Stegostoma tigrinum: one gene and its partners. Each later gene encodes a partner of the first gene's protein in a complex. Links are inferred from orthologs where the notes say so. Each region holds a gene or a part of one and is shown in the gene's direction. Other genes may lie near its edges.

Region 1 (4,730 bases):
ACATTCTAATTTCATTCTTTACATTCCATTACTGAGTAACGGACTATCACGGAAAACCGGGCACAGTCATTAAACTGGGTGATATTTCTTCTGAGCTAAGCTCTGATCCTGTGTATCCAGTTCTCTGGCTGTTCTGCTCCCTGTACCCGCCCCTGGGGGACACAGATCACTGCCCTGTCCTGTTTTATAAGCAGCAAGTTCGTACCTGTAGCTTCCTGCCCACAGTGTCATCCTACCCTCATTCTTCTCTGATGACAGTTCATCAGATTCAGCTAGGTTAGTACTGGAAGATGGAGATGAATCACCAGCACTTGAAGAGTCCTCACTGGTGTAAGTATAACTCCGCACCAGATGCCGATCACTTTGCAAAGCAAGCTTGAGCTCTGCTGAAAAGCAGGAATGCTCAGAGTTCAGATACTCTGGCCACTGTGCAGCATCAGGTCCTTTCACTTCCGGAGTTGAATGCACACTGTTTTCATGGATAATGCTACTGAATGCTGAAGGGCGCGAACTGTCCAAAATAGTCACTGGGGCCTTTCCCGTAGATTCTTCATCTACGTTGGCAGCAAATGGGATCTCTGGTAGATCTGCTTCTGGTTCCATCGCCATTACAGCACAGTAGAAAGTAGGCCCTGTAATTCAAAAAAAAGTCAAAATCTAAGAAATAGCAATGATCTCTGAGATACAAACTTCTTTGTTAAGCATACTGTTTGGTTTTACAAAGACATGACAGCTGTCTTCTGCAAACATTTCACTCCAGGAAGAGTCACACAGACTCGTCATAACACATTTAACATATTTGCATGTATAAGTTACAGAAAAATAAACTCCAACCTTCTTTAACGTTTTGTACAAAGTAACATAGCACTTACAACCTGGCTCATATCACAGAACAAATTGTCAAAAGGAATTTCACAGGTGCGAGAAAAAAAACGGATATTGAGCCAAAGAAAAAGCTAATCAGAAAGATAACCAATGGGCCAATTAAAAAAAAGGTTATCCTAAGGGTCTTAAAGGGCGATTGGAGAGATCTAAGGAAGGAAACCCAAAGTTACTAAGTCTTACCAGACTAATGGTACAGCCTTCAACGAGGGTGAAAAGTGGACCCCACATTATGAATTCCTCATCTTCACTGATAGTTATTACCTGGGCTTAGATTGTTGAGGTCCCAAGGCTGGGACATCAGAATTCCAACATATAGGATACTTTAAACATTTCATGTGCACAAGATGAGATTGCTTCACATAACCTTTTGTTGAAGTTCCAGTGACACCAGATTACAATTTAAAATAAACAATCTCAGCAAGAACTACGCTAATGACTGTCAGGAGGGAGAATTCCTCATCGGTCTCTGTCTCTGAGAGGACGATTCCTCACTCTGGGGGCCGGGAGAAGGGAGTATTCCTCATTAGGTCCTAAACCCGGGCAGGAGGCGTGCGTGTCTGGGCCCTCAACTGGTGGCGTTGTGTATGTGTGTGACTGGGGGAAGGGGCTGTTCCTCACTGACCTTTGCGGCCTGGCGCTGATGCAGCGGGCGAGAGGAGCCCCAGGTACAAGCTCAGTTCTCGGCCTCTTCCCACAGCCCCAGGCCCCGCTCCGGTTCACACAAACAGGCCACACTCTCATTCACCGTGACCTCACTTCCGCAATCTCGGGGGGAGGGGGGCGGGAATACAAGGAGCTGTCGATAAAGACAAGAGGTGCCGCTCTGTGACTCTAGGAAGTCGAGCCGGTCCCCTAGGCTCCTAAATATTTCCATTCATCCCAAGTCACAGGAAGTGATAAGAGCTGAGCGAGATCGAAGGCTGTACTCAGCAGCCTGTCATTACCAGCTTAGAAGCCGCGGTTCAGCCGCCGACGCTGACTGTTCCCAGCGGAAACGGTTGTCACGGCGAGAAGGGAGCCCATTTGTGATTGACAACGGGACTAGCCAATAATTATCCAACTTGTGGGCGGGGTCTGCCTCATTGCCCAATCAGCTGTGCAGTCTTTCCGATATGGGCCAATGAGTGGCTGGAAGGCGGGACATCCGGCGGAGCGGGGCGCGGGAGGCGGCCATGGCGAAGACCTACGATTATCTCTTCAAATTGCTGCTGATCGGCGACAGCGGCGTCGGCAAAACGTGTGTTCTCTTCCGCTTCTCAGAGGACGCCTTCAATACTACCTTCATCTCCACGATCGGTACGGATTGGAGAAATTGAGGCCTGGGAAGGGTTTACTGTATCGGGGCCTAGCGGTTGGTTCCGGGATAGAGAAGCCGCCTGCCTGGGTCTCCATCCCCCTTTGCCTTGTCTCTCCACCACCTCCTCTACTCTGGGAGTATGAGGACCGGCGTGTCAGATTCCAGCCACTGGAATACCGGATATTTCTGCCAGGACCTGTCAACGCGTTGGGGGATAATTGCCCGCTTCCCGCCCCTCTTACACCTCAGTTCTGTCAGCGGTTAGGTTATGTATGACCTGGTTCTGTTTTGTCTGGCGGGCGAGATTCGTTTCCCTCATTCTTGTGCGCTCTTTTATTTTGTTTTCATTACTTTTTTCAAAGTTTAAAAACACCATTTTATGTTTCAAACCAAATTTGTAGGACCTACACACTATATTTAAGTCCCTTGAATGTGTATCATGACAAGGTTTCCCGCTGTAGGATGGTTTAGGTTGGTGGCATAGTATGCTGTACAGCCTAAACGTGTAGGAAGTGATAGACACGGCTGGCAGTTTAGTTGACCACATATGAGGGATTGATAGATGGCAAGGTGTGGAGCTGGATGAACACAGCAGGCCAAGAAGCATCTTAGGAGCAGGAAAGCTGTTATTTCGGGCCTAGACCCTTCATCAGAAATGGGGGAGGGTAAGAGGGTTCTGAAATAAGTAGAGAGAGAGAGGAGGTGGATCGAAGATGGATAGAGGAGAAGATAAGAATATAAGACATAGGAGCAGGTGGAGAGGAGACAGACAAGTTAAAGAGGTGGGGTTGGAGCCTGTAAAGGTGAGTGTAGGTGGGGAGATGGGTCAGCCCAGGGAGGACAGACAGATCAAGGGGGCGGGATGAGGTTAGTAGGTAGGAAATAGGGGCGTGGAGAAGAGGATAGGTGAGAGGAAGAACAAGTTAGGAAGGCAGGGACGAGCTGGACTAGTTTTGGGATGTGGTGGGGGGAGGGGAGATTTTGAAGCTTGTGAAATCCACATTGATACCTTTGGGCTGCAGGGTACCCAAGCAGAATATGCGTTGCAGTTCCTGCAACCTTTGGGTGGCATCGTTGTGGCACTGCGGGAGGCCCAGGATGGACATGTCATCTGAGGAATGGGAGGGGGAGTTAAAATGGTTCGCGATCGGGAGGTGCAGCTCTTTATCGCGAACCGAACGTAGCTGTTCAGCAAAGCAGTCTCCAAGCCTCCACTTTGTTTCCCCGATGTAGAGGAGGCCGCAACTGGAACAGCGATGCGGTATACCACATTAGCAGACGTGCGAGTGAACCTCTGCATCCCGCCCCCTTGACTTGTCCGACCTCCCTGGACTCCTCCCTACACTCACTTTACAGGCTCCATTCCCTCCTCTTTAACTTGTCTGTCTCCTCTCCACCTATCTTCTCCTCTATCCATCTTCGATCTGCCTCCCCGTCTCTCGCTGTTTATTTCAGAACCCTCTTCCCCTCCCCCATTTCTGATGAAGAGTCTAGGCCCGAAATGTCAGCTTTCCTGCTCCTAAGATGATGCTTGGCCTGCTGTCTTCATTCAGCTCCACACCTTGTTATTTCGGATTCTCCAGCATCTGCAGTTTCTATTATCTATGGGGGATTGCTGCTCGTTTTACAAGCTTTAATGTTGCTTTTGGAGCATAGGGTAGGGATACTATAGTGCAAAGGGAGGCTGAGAGTTAAGTGAAACCTTGTCTAGACATGCATTTCATTGTTAGAAGAAGGGAAGCAGCAGTTAGTCAGTAAATCCCCACAGTGTAACTCTAGAATAGATATTCTGTATTGGGAAATGGTGAGAGTGACAGTTCCTTGGGGGAATGCGTTTGGAGCCAAGCAGCCCAGAAGAGGAGCAGACAAAGTAAGAGCAATAGCAATAGGAGACTCAGTAATGAGGGATGCAGTCTGACACTTCTGTGCTGTAGATGTGATTTGAAGATGTATGGCGCTTCCCTGGATCCAGGTTCATGGATGCCACCTCTGCAAGCGGTTCTGAAGTGGGAGAATGCACAGCCACAAGTTGTGGTTTACCTTGATGCCAGTGACATTGGCAGAATGAAGGATAAGGTTCTGCATCAAGAATTTAGGGAGGTAGGTAGCAGATTGAAAAACAGGACCTCAAAGGTTGTAATCTCTGGATTACACCGATGGCCATGTACTAGTGAAAAGAAGAATAGCTGGTAGAGGGGATGAATGTGTGGCTGAAGAGTTGGAGCAGAAGAGAACACTTGAGATTCTTGAATCACTGGGTCTGTTTCTGGGGAAGGCTGCAAATGAACCACAATGGGACTAAGATCATTGCAAAGAGGTTTGCTAGAGCTGTTTGTGAAGGTTTAGACTCAGTTGACAGGGGAATATGATTTGGGGTGGTGTTGTACAGAAAAAATGTAGCAAAGTCATGCCAGGCAGGGCACGAGAGAACTCGGCAGGGCACGAGGGAACTCAGCAAGGCTAATGGCATTTCCTTTCATGCAAGGAGTCTTATGAGTAAGGCAGATGAGTTGAGAATGCTCAATTGTTTGGCTGAATTGGCTGGATG
Region 2 (4,561 bases), on another chromosome or scaffold:
TTCAAGTATCAAGTAGAGCCCCTGTAGCAGCAAGGCCTATGTGAAAGAAAAAGTGAGGGGGAAGGTAGGGATCAAATTAAAATAGAGTTTGTGGGGAAAACAATGTGCTCCACACCCCACAATGTCCACCTCCCCAAAAGGCATCAACAGCACCAGTACTCACGACATGCTCCTTCTCCAGGGACACCCGGGCACAGACATAGCCTTGGTGGAGGGGCAAGCAGTCAGCCATAATAACCTCCCCCGCAACAGTCCGCTGCCTGGACCTATTAATGGTCAGGCCCACGAGCAGATTCATGAGGCAATTTTCTGATCTGCTGCACCCAATTCACCCTTTCTATGTCAGTCAGCTCCCTGATTGGACCAGATTTACAGCCTCAATCAGGGAATTCGTATTCCTGAACTAAGCTTCTTGAGCACTGTTGGAGGCACATCTATCTGGGCAAATGGACAGTATTCTATCACCGAGATGCTGCTTGGCCTGCTGTGTTCATCCAGCTTCACACTTTATTATCTAGTATTCTATTACGCCATTGGCATATACCTTGTAAACAGTGCACAGGCATTTGACAGAAAGGAACTCCTCGTATCTGACATCCTTTAGTAGCCGCAGATTTTGTCCTAATTTTCTGTTTTTGTTTCATATTTACAGCATGCACAAATCTTTGTTTTGTTTGAGAGGAATGGAGTGGTTTGAAATGTATCTTTTATTTCAAAGCCAAAAACAGCTTTGAATATTTGAAAATCAAGTTGAAAAGCCAATCGCTAGCCCTCAGTAAATGCATGGGTAAATGCAGGCCCTGACATTACACTAAATTGTATAGAGCAGGCATGTTCCATGCTGGGATATCAGTTGGGGAATGACAACTGTCCTCAAGATACCGGAAGCGGGTTGAATCAGCCAGGGTGCTCACTTCCAATTTCTACCAGAAGCCTCTCCCAGGAAGTTTAAAATTACGTTTGATGATGGCCACGGTTATGAAAGATCTATTCGGAACACGCTATCAGGGCCACTTGGTTGTAATACTGGCACATGGTTGACACTTGAAACTACACCCCAGCATAACTTGCTGGCATAGATTCCATGGCCGAATGGCCTGCTTCTGTGCCGTAAATGTATCAGTACTACTGGAAACGACGGAATAAAAACAAAGTTGCTGGAAAAGCTCAGCAGGTCTGGCAGCATCTGTGAAGGAAAAGAGTTAACGTTTCGGGTCCGGACCCGAAACGTTAAATCATTTTTTCCTTCATAGACGCTGCCAGACCAGCTGAGCTTTTCCAACAACTTTGTTTTTGTTCCCGATTTACAGCATCCGCAGTTCTTTCAGTTTTTATTTAGAATGGCGGAATATTGTGCAAAAAACTGTGAAAGAAAACGGGGGACAAATGTGAATAACAGTACTTTGGACAATCTATTACAGAAAAAGAAAACTTACTTTGAAAGGGGAACAAAAAAACGCAGACACAAATTTCGACTTCTCTCCAGGTATCGCTAAGCAACTAGAGGGGCATTGCAAAACAGACGCCTGGATTGGTTTAGAAATCTGCCGATCAAACAACAGTCAAGCTTCCCGTCATGTGAAACCCGGGTACACAAAGAGGAAGTGTGAAATACAGTTATTCCGCTGTTTGGAGCAGGTAATAAAACAGAAATCTGCCCATTATTACATGCCTGTTGTTTGAATATGCAGAGTGAAGCTTTTCTGAAGCTTTAGTCATTTGTAAGACAGCAGTTCTTCATTTTAAATGATCGTGTGGTTTTAATTTCAGTTTAAGTCCAACAGTGGAGTGAGGAGGCACAGCAAGGGAAAATCGATGGAGGAGGAATTGAACGCAACATCAGCATTTGAGAAAGATCCGTTCAAGCTCACAGCTGAAGATGTCTACGATATGTCTTATGTCATTGGCCGTGATTTATTCAAACTCAGTAGCTCAGAAGATAGCCGTACAGTCTCCGAGCTGCAATATAAAGTAATCAGAGTTCTAGAAATATTCGAGTTGTTGGTGGACAGGCAGAACCTATCAGTCGAGAAACTGAAAATTGAACGGGACAACCTGAGGAAGGAAACGGAAAGGCTTCACAGGGAACTCCAAGTGGCAACAAGCGATTCAGAGAAAGAGAAGAATGGAACAGACAAACTGGTGGTCGATGTTAATGACCCAAATCGGCCTCGTTTCACGCTCCAGGAATTGACGGATGTGTTGCAAGAACGCAACAAACTTAAAGCTCAGTTACTTGTTGCTCAAGAAGAACTGGAATGTTATAAAAGCGGATTAATGACCACAAAGGAGCCACAAAGGCTAGAAAAGAAGGCATCTGGTGCAAATCGTGAAAGTGAACAAACTACGGTTAAGAAACTGTTTTCTCTCAAATATCGAAAAAATCATTAAGCATGCGGGACACAAGGATCTTTTAAAAAGGTTTCTGAGCACTCATACTTTCGTAGTCATAATACTCATTATTTTCTTAAACGGAATGTACTGATGCAGGAATTTTCAAAGTTTAATTTTCTAAGAATCCAAAAAATAGGTTTGTTACTTGTAAAAAGTTTTTTTTAAGAAAAGCTGTATTTGTTTTGCTATGTAGAGCAAGACTGCAAAAAGAACTTAAAAGTAGACTTAATTTCTAAGTATGTTTCAGAGATAGTTGGAACTGCAGATGCTGGAGAATCTGAGATAACAAGGTATAGAGCTGGATGAACACAGCATCAGAGGCTGACGTTTTGGGCCTAGGTTTCTGGAGAAAGGTCTCGGCCCAAAACATCAGCCTCCCTGCTCCTCTGATGCTGCTTGGCCTGCTGTGTTCATCCAGCTCTGCGAGATAACAAATTGTGGAGCTGGATGAACACAGCAGGCTAAGCAGCATCTTAGGGGCACAAAAGCTGACGTTCCGGGCCTAGACCCTTCATCAGAAAAGGGGGATGGGGAGAGGGTTCTGAAATAAATGGGGGGGGGAGGCAGACCAAAGATGGATAGAGAAGATAGGTGGAGAGGAGAATATAAGTGGGGAGGTAGGGAGGGGACAGGTCAGTCCGGGGAGGATGGACATGTCAAGGGGGCGGGATGAAGTTAGTACGTATTCTGATTCTCCAGCATCTGCAGTTCCCATTATCTCTGATCTCTCATCCAGCTCTACACCTTGTTATCCCTTAATTTCTAAGTAGTCATTTTTTCTTAATTTTGGGGCATAGCTTCGATGTGCTTATTTAACTCAACTAGAAATCCAGAGGCCTGGGCTAATGATTTGTAGACTGGAGTTCAATGACAGCAAGGAAATGTAAAAAAATCTGGAATCTAGCACCCCTGAGGATGACCGTAGAACTTCCATATGCTCATAAACTCTGGTTCACCTGGGGAAGGAAATCTGTCATCCTTTAAAGTTTTGGCAAAGATCTGTAGCTCGGGTTGTGGATGGGGTTGTTGCTTGCTCACCAAGCTGGCTTGTTTTTGTTCAGACGTTTCGTTACCATGCTAGGTGACATCATCAGTGGAGCCTCCAATGAAGCAATGTTATTCCACTCCGCTTGGAATTTATACATCCAGTCTGTCACGGTGAGTCCTGTAATTTCTGGTTTTGATCTGTATGGGTTTGTATATGGGGTCCAATTCTATATGTTTGTTGACTTAAGTATGGGTGGAGAACCATGCCTCTAAGAATTCCTGTGTGCATCTATGTTTGGCTTGGGCTACTATGATTACCTTGTCCTAGTTAAATTGATGGCCTCCACTGTCTGAATGGACCGATATTAAGGAGAGGTGGTTATTGCCGTTTTGTTGTTAACTGCTATTGAGGTATTCTGATGGCTAGTTTCCTTTGAATCTGTCGGATGTAATGTTTTTATGGCAATTGTTGCATGATATTTTGTAAACCACATTGTTCTGCATGTTGTGGAAATGGGGTCTTTAATCCTTGTAAATGTTTGTCGTAGAGTGGCTGTGGGCTTGTGGGCCACTGTGATTCCTGGTTGTCTTAGGAGTCTTGTCAATTCCGATATGTTCTTGATGTAGGGCAATGTGGCCAGTGTGTTGGGTATACTGTGTCCTCCTGTTGCTGTCTGTTTTGTAGGCATCTATAGATGAAGTTGTGGGGATATCCATTTAAAGCGATGATCTTGTATAAATGTTCTTCCTCTTTCCTTTATGGTTCTAGAGTGTTGCAGTGTGTCCTGGCTCATTTAAATAGTGTCCTAATGCAGTTTTGTTTGTGGTGGAAGTTGAAAAATTGATCCATATGGGTTGCCTTTCTGTATACCCTAGTTTGGAACTCCTTGTTTGTCAATCACTCTACGTTAACATCCAGAAACGGAAGTTGATTGTTGGTTTCTTCTTCCCTAGTGAATTTAATCTTTGAGTAAGCTGTTGATGAGGTGGTGGGTCTCTAACTTGTTGCGTTTAATAATAACAAATGTGTCATCTACATTCCGAGTCCACAGTTTAGGTTAAATGCGAGGGAGGGTGGTGTGTTCCAGTCTTTGCATGACTGCTTCTGCAATGAGTCCTGAGATGGGTGACCCCATTGGTATACCATTGATCTGTTTCTGGATGTTAAAGTACAGCAATT
Region 3 (4,730 bases), on another chromosome or scaffold:
TCAGCCTTCTTGCTCCTCTGATGCTGCTTGGCCCGCTGTATTCAACCAGGTCTGCACCTTGTGATCTCATATATGATCCATCAAACCAGGCTTCATTTCAGGATCTGACTTGTCCAGTATTTTTATCAGTTGGAATTATAATACATTTAAAAATCTCCTTGAAAATGACATACTTTTGTGATCATACCAATATCTCCTTGTGTAGCTTGATATCATATTTGTTTAATTATGTTCTGATAAGCATCCTAGGATGGTTGATAGTGTTAAAGGTACTCTACGAATATGTGTTTTTTGTTGCTAGTCTCATCAAACCAACTAAATCATCCTAGCAAACAAAACCAGATATGCTGTTTTACTCTGCTTTTTTTCCAAAGCTGCTCAGTTTAGCCCTTAGTTATGGTGTGATGAACCATGAACATCATCATTGTCAAACGATGTTTTGATATTTGAGACAGAGATTCAGTGAGGTGGCAATGTTCTTGCAATCCTGTTCTGTGAGTTTAGCAGTTCGAACAAAGATCAATTAACTCATCATAAACTTTGTCTGGCCCGGCGAAAATTTTAACTCATTGAGGAATGGATCAACTTCTGGGGGAGAAGTTTAAATTATGGTCTTATGCACTGAAATCCCTCAGCATTTTCACTCCTCGGCTTTTGAGAGCATTGAGATCATCTTCTTAAGGTAGCTAGGGATCTTAATTATCAAAAGTTTAAATTCCAGTGATGTAATTCAGTCTCTGATACTGCATTAACAGTGACTTGCATGAACCTGCAGACCACCAGGGGCTTACAATTCTGGGAGCTGGGACCAGGAGTGGAAACACTTTCTGCTTTTCTGTCTTCATCTCTCCCTCCTCAACTATAACTGACTTACTTATTCAGCTTGCTAGAACTAGTCTCTCAAACTTTGTGATTGCCGATATTTTGCTGGGGTAAAAGGGCAACATTGCCCATCCCTAAATGCCCACAAGGCAGTTGAGAGTTAACCGCTTTGTTATGGATCTGGAGTTACATGTAGGCCTGGCTGGGTGAGGATGGCGGTTTCCTTCCCTGAAGGACTTTGTGAGCCAGATGGATTTTCCCACCAATCAACAATCATCTAATGGCCATCTGTAGATTCTTAATTTCTGATATTTTTATTGAATTTAAACTCCACCATCTGCCATGACGGGATTCAAATATTAGCTGAGTTTTTGGATTAATAGTCTAATGGTAATACTACTAGGCCATGGCATCCCTGCATTAATAAATCTCTGGATTTAAGATTGGCTGTAGACTTGAAGCTTATTTATCTCTTTTCTTTCAGTCTTTCCTGAGAGTATTTCATTGCTTAGCTTTTGTCGCCTGGAGTTAATTATTACGGGGCAATAACAAATGAAGCTGGTTCTTATTACAGCCTGTGTCTGACTGGCCAAGGGTCAAAGCGTCTCTCGGTGTGTCCTTACGTCAGTAAAAAGCTGCAGCTGAGGACTGAGAGTATGAGGTGCTTGTGTCTGTTATTAGTTACGACCAACCAACTCACTTCCAAAAACGTTTCCAAGTTTGTTTTTGCTGTGCAAATTTTCCATTGCCTTATTATGCGGGAAGCCAAAACAAGGAAACAGAGTTAGGGACTGCAAGATGGAGCCGGGATCAAGAGGAGTTCACACTCTGGGAGGTCTCATAAACAGGGTTATGAGGTAAATGCAGCTGATTTCAATTTCCAGAGAATGAATCTGGACTTGGCGATGACAGGAGAAACAGTTCAAGGGGATTGCACCACCTCTGCCCCTCACATTCCTGCAGGACCTCTCAGCAGGTGTACACAGCCCTGTCCGGATGGTACAAAGTTTCTGGAATCTTGCACAATGCTAAACAGTGAAGAGCAGTCAACCATTGACAGGTAGGAAATATTGTGAAATAAACACAGAGCGGGGAGATTTGGGGAGGGGGTATAAAGTATAATTGCTTCTTATGCACTGTCGTGTTTTCAGACCAGAGTCTGATCAATACTGTCAGTCAAAGTAATGCGGGGACATTCCACAGTCCTAAGTCACCAAACTGTGTGGCAACAAAATTACACAGAGTGGCTTCTGAAATACAAATGGAACAATAATCAGTTCAAAGCCCACTTTTAATCTGGCCACGACGTCTCTGTTGAGAAGATTGAGATAATGTTGAAGGAAGCCTGAGCACTGCAGGAAGATTTTTTAATCAATTAGAGATGTGGAGAAGTTTGTTTTTCAAATGCTTGAGGAAGAGGAATACATAAATAAATAAAACACCTGAGCCACACAGGAATTTGTAGTTTCACTGTGGGAAATAATGCAGGACAAGTCATTGAAACAGAAGGCAGTGTTGAAGGAAAGACTAAATAAATTATATTATCATTTTACATGTGAAGATTCGACAACTGCTTTTGATCTGCAGTGTGGAAAATTGCATATGCCACTGATCCTATACAAACTCTAGGATATTCACTGCGACTAGAAATGACAGAGTCAGCAGGTGACAGATAATGCTGTAAGTGAGCAACTTATTTACACTAATGTGTAGCATAGCACCACAGAATGCCTCAACACAGACAAGCAAAGACATTCTATATCATATATATTGTCAACTAAATGGGAGGTATTCCATATGCATCAAGAAAAGGAGGCAATGGGATTTCTGCAGAAAATCAGTGTTCAGTTTCACACCAGGATAGTCTAGAACATTTACAAGAGGAACCTGGCTCCACAGAAGATGGCAGCCACACAGCACAGTCAAGCAACAGCAAGGTGTTCCCACATTAGAAATAGTGAGACAGAAGAAAATAACATTTAACAGTACCAGAGTACTCTATCTAAAGATTATCAGTGCTATATGTTGGCAACAGAGTATGTAACTAGAGAATTATTAAGGCTAGATATCCTTCCTAATGCAGATAAAGCAGTTATGGAGGAAATGTCTGATTCTAATGCTTCTTACTGTAAACTTTAACCAAGTCTGGGACTCAGAATACTACCTGGGACTTCCTTCTTGATGCCCCAACTGTGACATAGGTGGAGTCCTCACAATATCATTGTCTGTACGAGAAAACCCTCATGTGGAAGTAATGCCACTACCTATAGAGAGAATCACTTTTTACCCAAGGACAATCTTAATTGCTTCATCTTTGGAATAATCTTTAAAATAAATGCTCATTCTTCTTGTGGTCTACCTGACTCGACGGGGTGGGGGAGTGTGTGTGTGGTGAAGGTGTGGAGTGATGTTGTCGCACTGGATGATACAGCTATAAACCCTTTACATCAGGGATGACACTCATTCTATTATGAGCCTTGATGAGTAAAATTGGTAATTTTGTACACAGCATATTTAAGTAGATCATATTCCCTCTTAGCGCTGAACTGAGAATGTCCTTGCTTATTTATTATATAAATCTTGGAGACAACAATTGTTGGGGGCCTGACTCCAACTCACAGAGATACAATGCCATTTTCCAACTCACTGCACCACTAAGAAATTTAACATGGTTTGGCGAGTTTTGAGAAGATTAACATGGTTTGGTATATTTCAATAGAAATAGGTACAAACTTGCACAGCTAGAGAAGAAATAGATTCGTTGAGCAAAGACTCATTAAGTGTTATTTCCTGTGAGGTAAAGTAAGATATACTAGATATTTTATATCTAGAACTATGTAAAATCTTTCAATTCAGCAACTGGCCATTCAGCGGCACAAATCTTTTGCCAGTGTTTATGTTCTACACAAGCCTCTTTCCCAACCCAATTCAGCTGTCCTATACCCTTTTTATTTCTCTCTACTCTTATACTTATCTAGCTTTCCTTTAAATGTATCTACACTAATTGCCTCACCGTTTCATGTGGTAGCATACTTCGTACTGTAAAAGAATATCTAAAGCAACCTAAAGCTTAAAACACTTGCAATAAACTGTAGTTTGAGGAGGTTTCTGGCTGAATTATACATTAGACAAAATGTGCCATGTGCTCTGAGTGGCTGGAGCAGTGGAATGTAATGTACAATGTTCACTCAGTTGATTATTTAGGGAAATGCGCCCTCAGTGTTGCATGTGGTGGTAATCTGAACTGTAGGCAATATAGTTTTGTGGCTTTCCAAAGGATGAAAGGAGGGTTGAAACCTGTTGCCTGGATTCTGAACTTTATTGCTGGATGAGGAGAAAAGATTCAAAAAGTATATCTATATAAATTGAGGTTTAATAGTTGCTCTTCACAATAGGCAAATAGCCCCAAGTTCACCTTGGCCAATGCTGTGTTGTCCTTATTCAAACAAATGGGTTAACTCTCTGTCATTCACTGAGCTTTGGCCTGCAACCAATATAAACATATACAATGGACTGCAAGTTCTTTTCAGATATCCTAATCTGTTCCCTTGCAAATAGAAACCTTATTCAGAGTCATTTGTGCTCTAAGTATTACTATGAAGTGTAAAGTCTAAGCAAACATAAGATCATCAAAGATTAACTTTGAGGAGAAAAGTAATCTGATAATGGGCACATTCTAAATGCTGTGAATTTGATAACTTTTACTGTCATTAGAATTTTTTTATTCCTGTACTTTCACTGCTGTTACAGTTTCCCAGTGATCATTTAATTGGAGGGAATTACTGATGTGATATTGAGCTATGTTGATCAAGTGGGTTTAATTTTGATCCCTAGTCGGTGTTATCTCAATTCCGATGAGGGGCAATATTAGTGGCACAGCAACCATTATTATCAGTGTACTCTTGGGC

The links.
Region 2: the proteins of rab8a (region 1) and rilpl2 are in contact, whole or in part, in a crystal structure (PDB 6SQ2), measured with the Homo sapiens proteins. The link is inferred for Stegostoma tigrinum from reciprocal best matches to the Homo sapiens genes RAB8A and RILPL2. Residues at the interface, in NP_005361.2 of Homo sapiens: Ile41, Gly42, Ile43, Asp44, Phe45, Lys46, Ile47, Lys58, Trp62, Phe70, Ile73, Tyr77; in NP_659495.1 of Homo sapiens: Leu135, Leu138, Arg139, Leu142, Gln143, Arg145, Asn146, Lys149, Ser150, Leu153, Glu157.
Region 3: the proteins of rab8a (region 1) and guanine nucleotide exchange factor for Rab-3A-like are in contact, whole or in part, in a crystal structure (PDB 4LI0), measured with the Homo sapiens proteins. The link is inferred for Stegostoma tigrinum from reciprocal best matches to the Homo sapiens genes RAB8A and RAB3IL1. Residues at the interface, in NP_005361.2 of Homo sapiens: Lys10, Phe33, Ser35, Phe37, Ile43, Asp44, Phe45, Lys46, Ile47, Gln60, Trp62, Thr72, Ile73, Thr75, Ala76, Tyr77, Arg79; in NP_037533.2 of Homo sapiens: Arg104, Glu108, Leu111, Glu112, Thr115, Ala116, Phe119, Glu120, Ala122, His123, Arg127.

The regions. Positions count from the first base shown.
Region 1 is NC_081383.1:45,604,747-45,609,476, reverse strand, and holds the start of rab8a (ras-related protein Rab-8A), read left to right. Parts: upstream 1-1,681; 5' UTR 1,682-2,057; coding exon 2,058-2,181; intron 2,182-4,730. Other genes in the region: E3 ubiquitin-protein ligase arkadia-A-like, read right to left, coding at 206-609. UniProt on the Homo sapiens protein: The small GTPases Rab are key regulators of intracellular membrane trafficking, from the formation of transport vesicles to their fusion with membranes.
Region 2 is NC_081395.1:4,467,424-4,471,984, reverse strand, and holds rilpl2 (RILP-like protein 2), read left to right. Parts: upstream 1-1,457; 5' UTR 1,458-1,638; intron 1,639-1,770; 5' UTR 1,771-1,815; coding exon 1,816-2,391; 3' UTR 2,392-3,503; downstream 3,504-4,561. UniProt on the Homo sapiens protein: Involved in cell shape and neuronal morphogenesis, positively regulating the establishment and maintenance of dendritic spines. Plays a role in cellular protein transport, including protein transport away from primary cilia.
Region 3 is NC_081370.1:18,134,907-18,139,636, forward strand, and holds the start of guanine nucleotide exchange factor for Rab-3A-like, read left to right. Parts: upstream 1-1,435; 5' UTR 1,436-1,709; coding exon 1,710-1,882; intron 1,883-4,730. UniProt on the Homo sapiens protein: Guanine nucleotide exchange factor (GEF) which may activate RAB3A, a GTPase that regulates synaptic vesicle exocytosis. Promotes the exchange of GDP to GTP, converting inactive GDP-bound Rab proteins into their active GTP-bound form.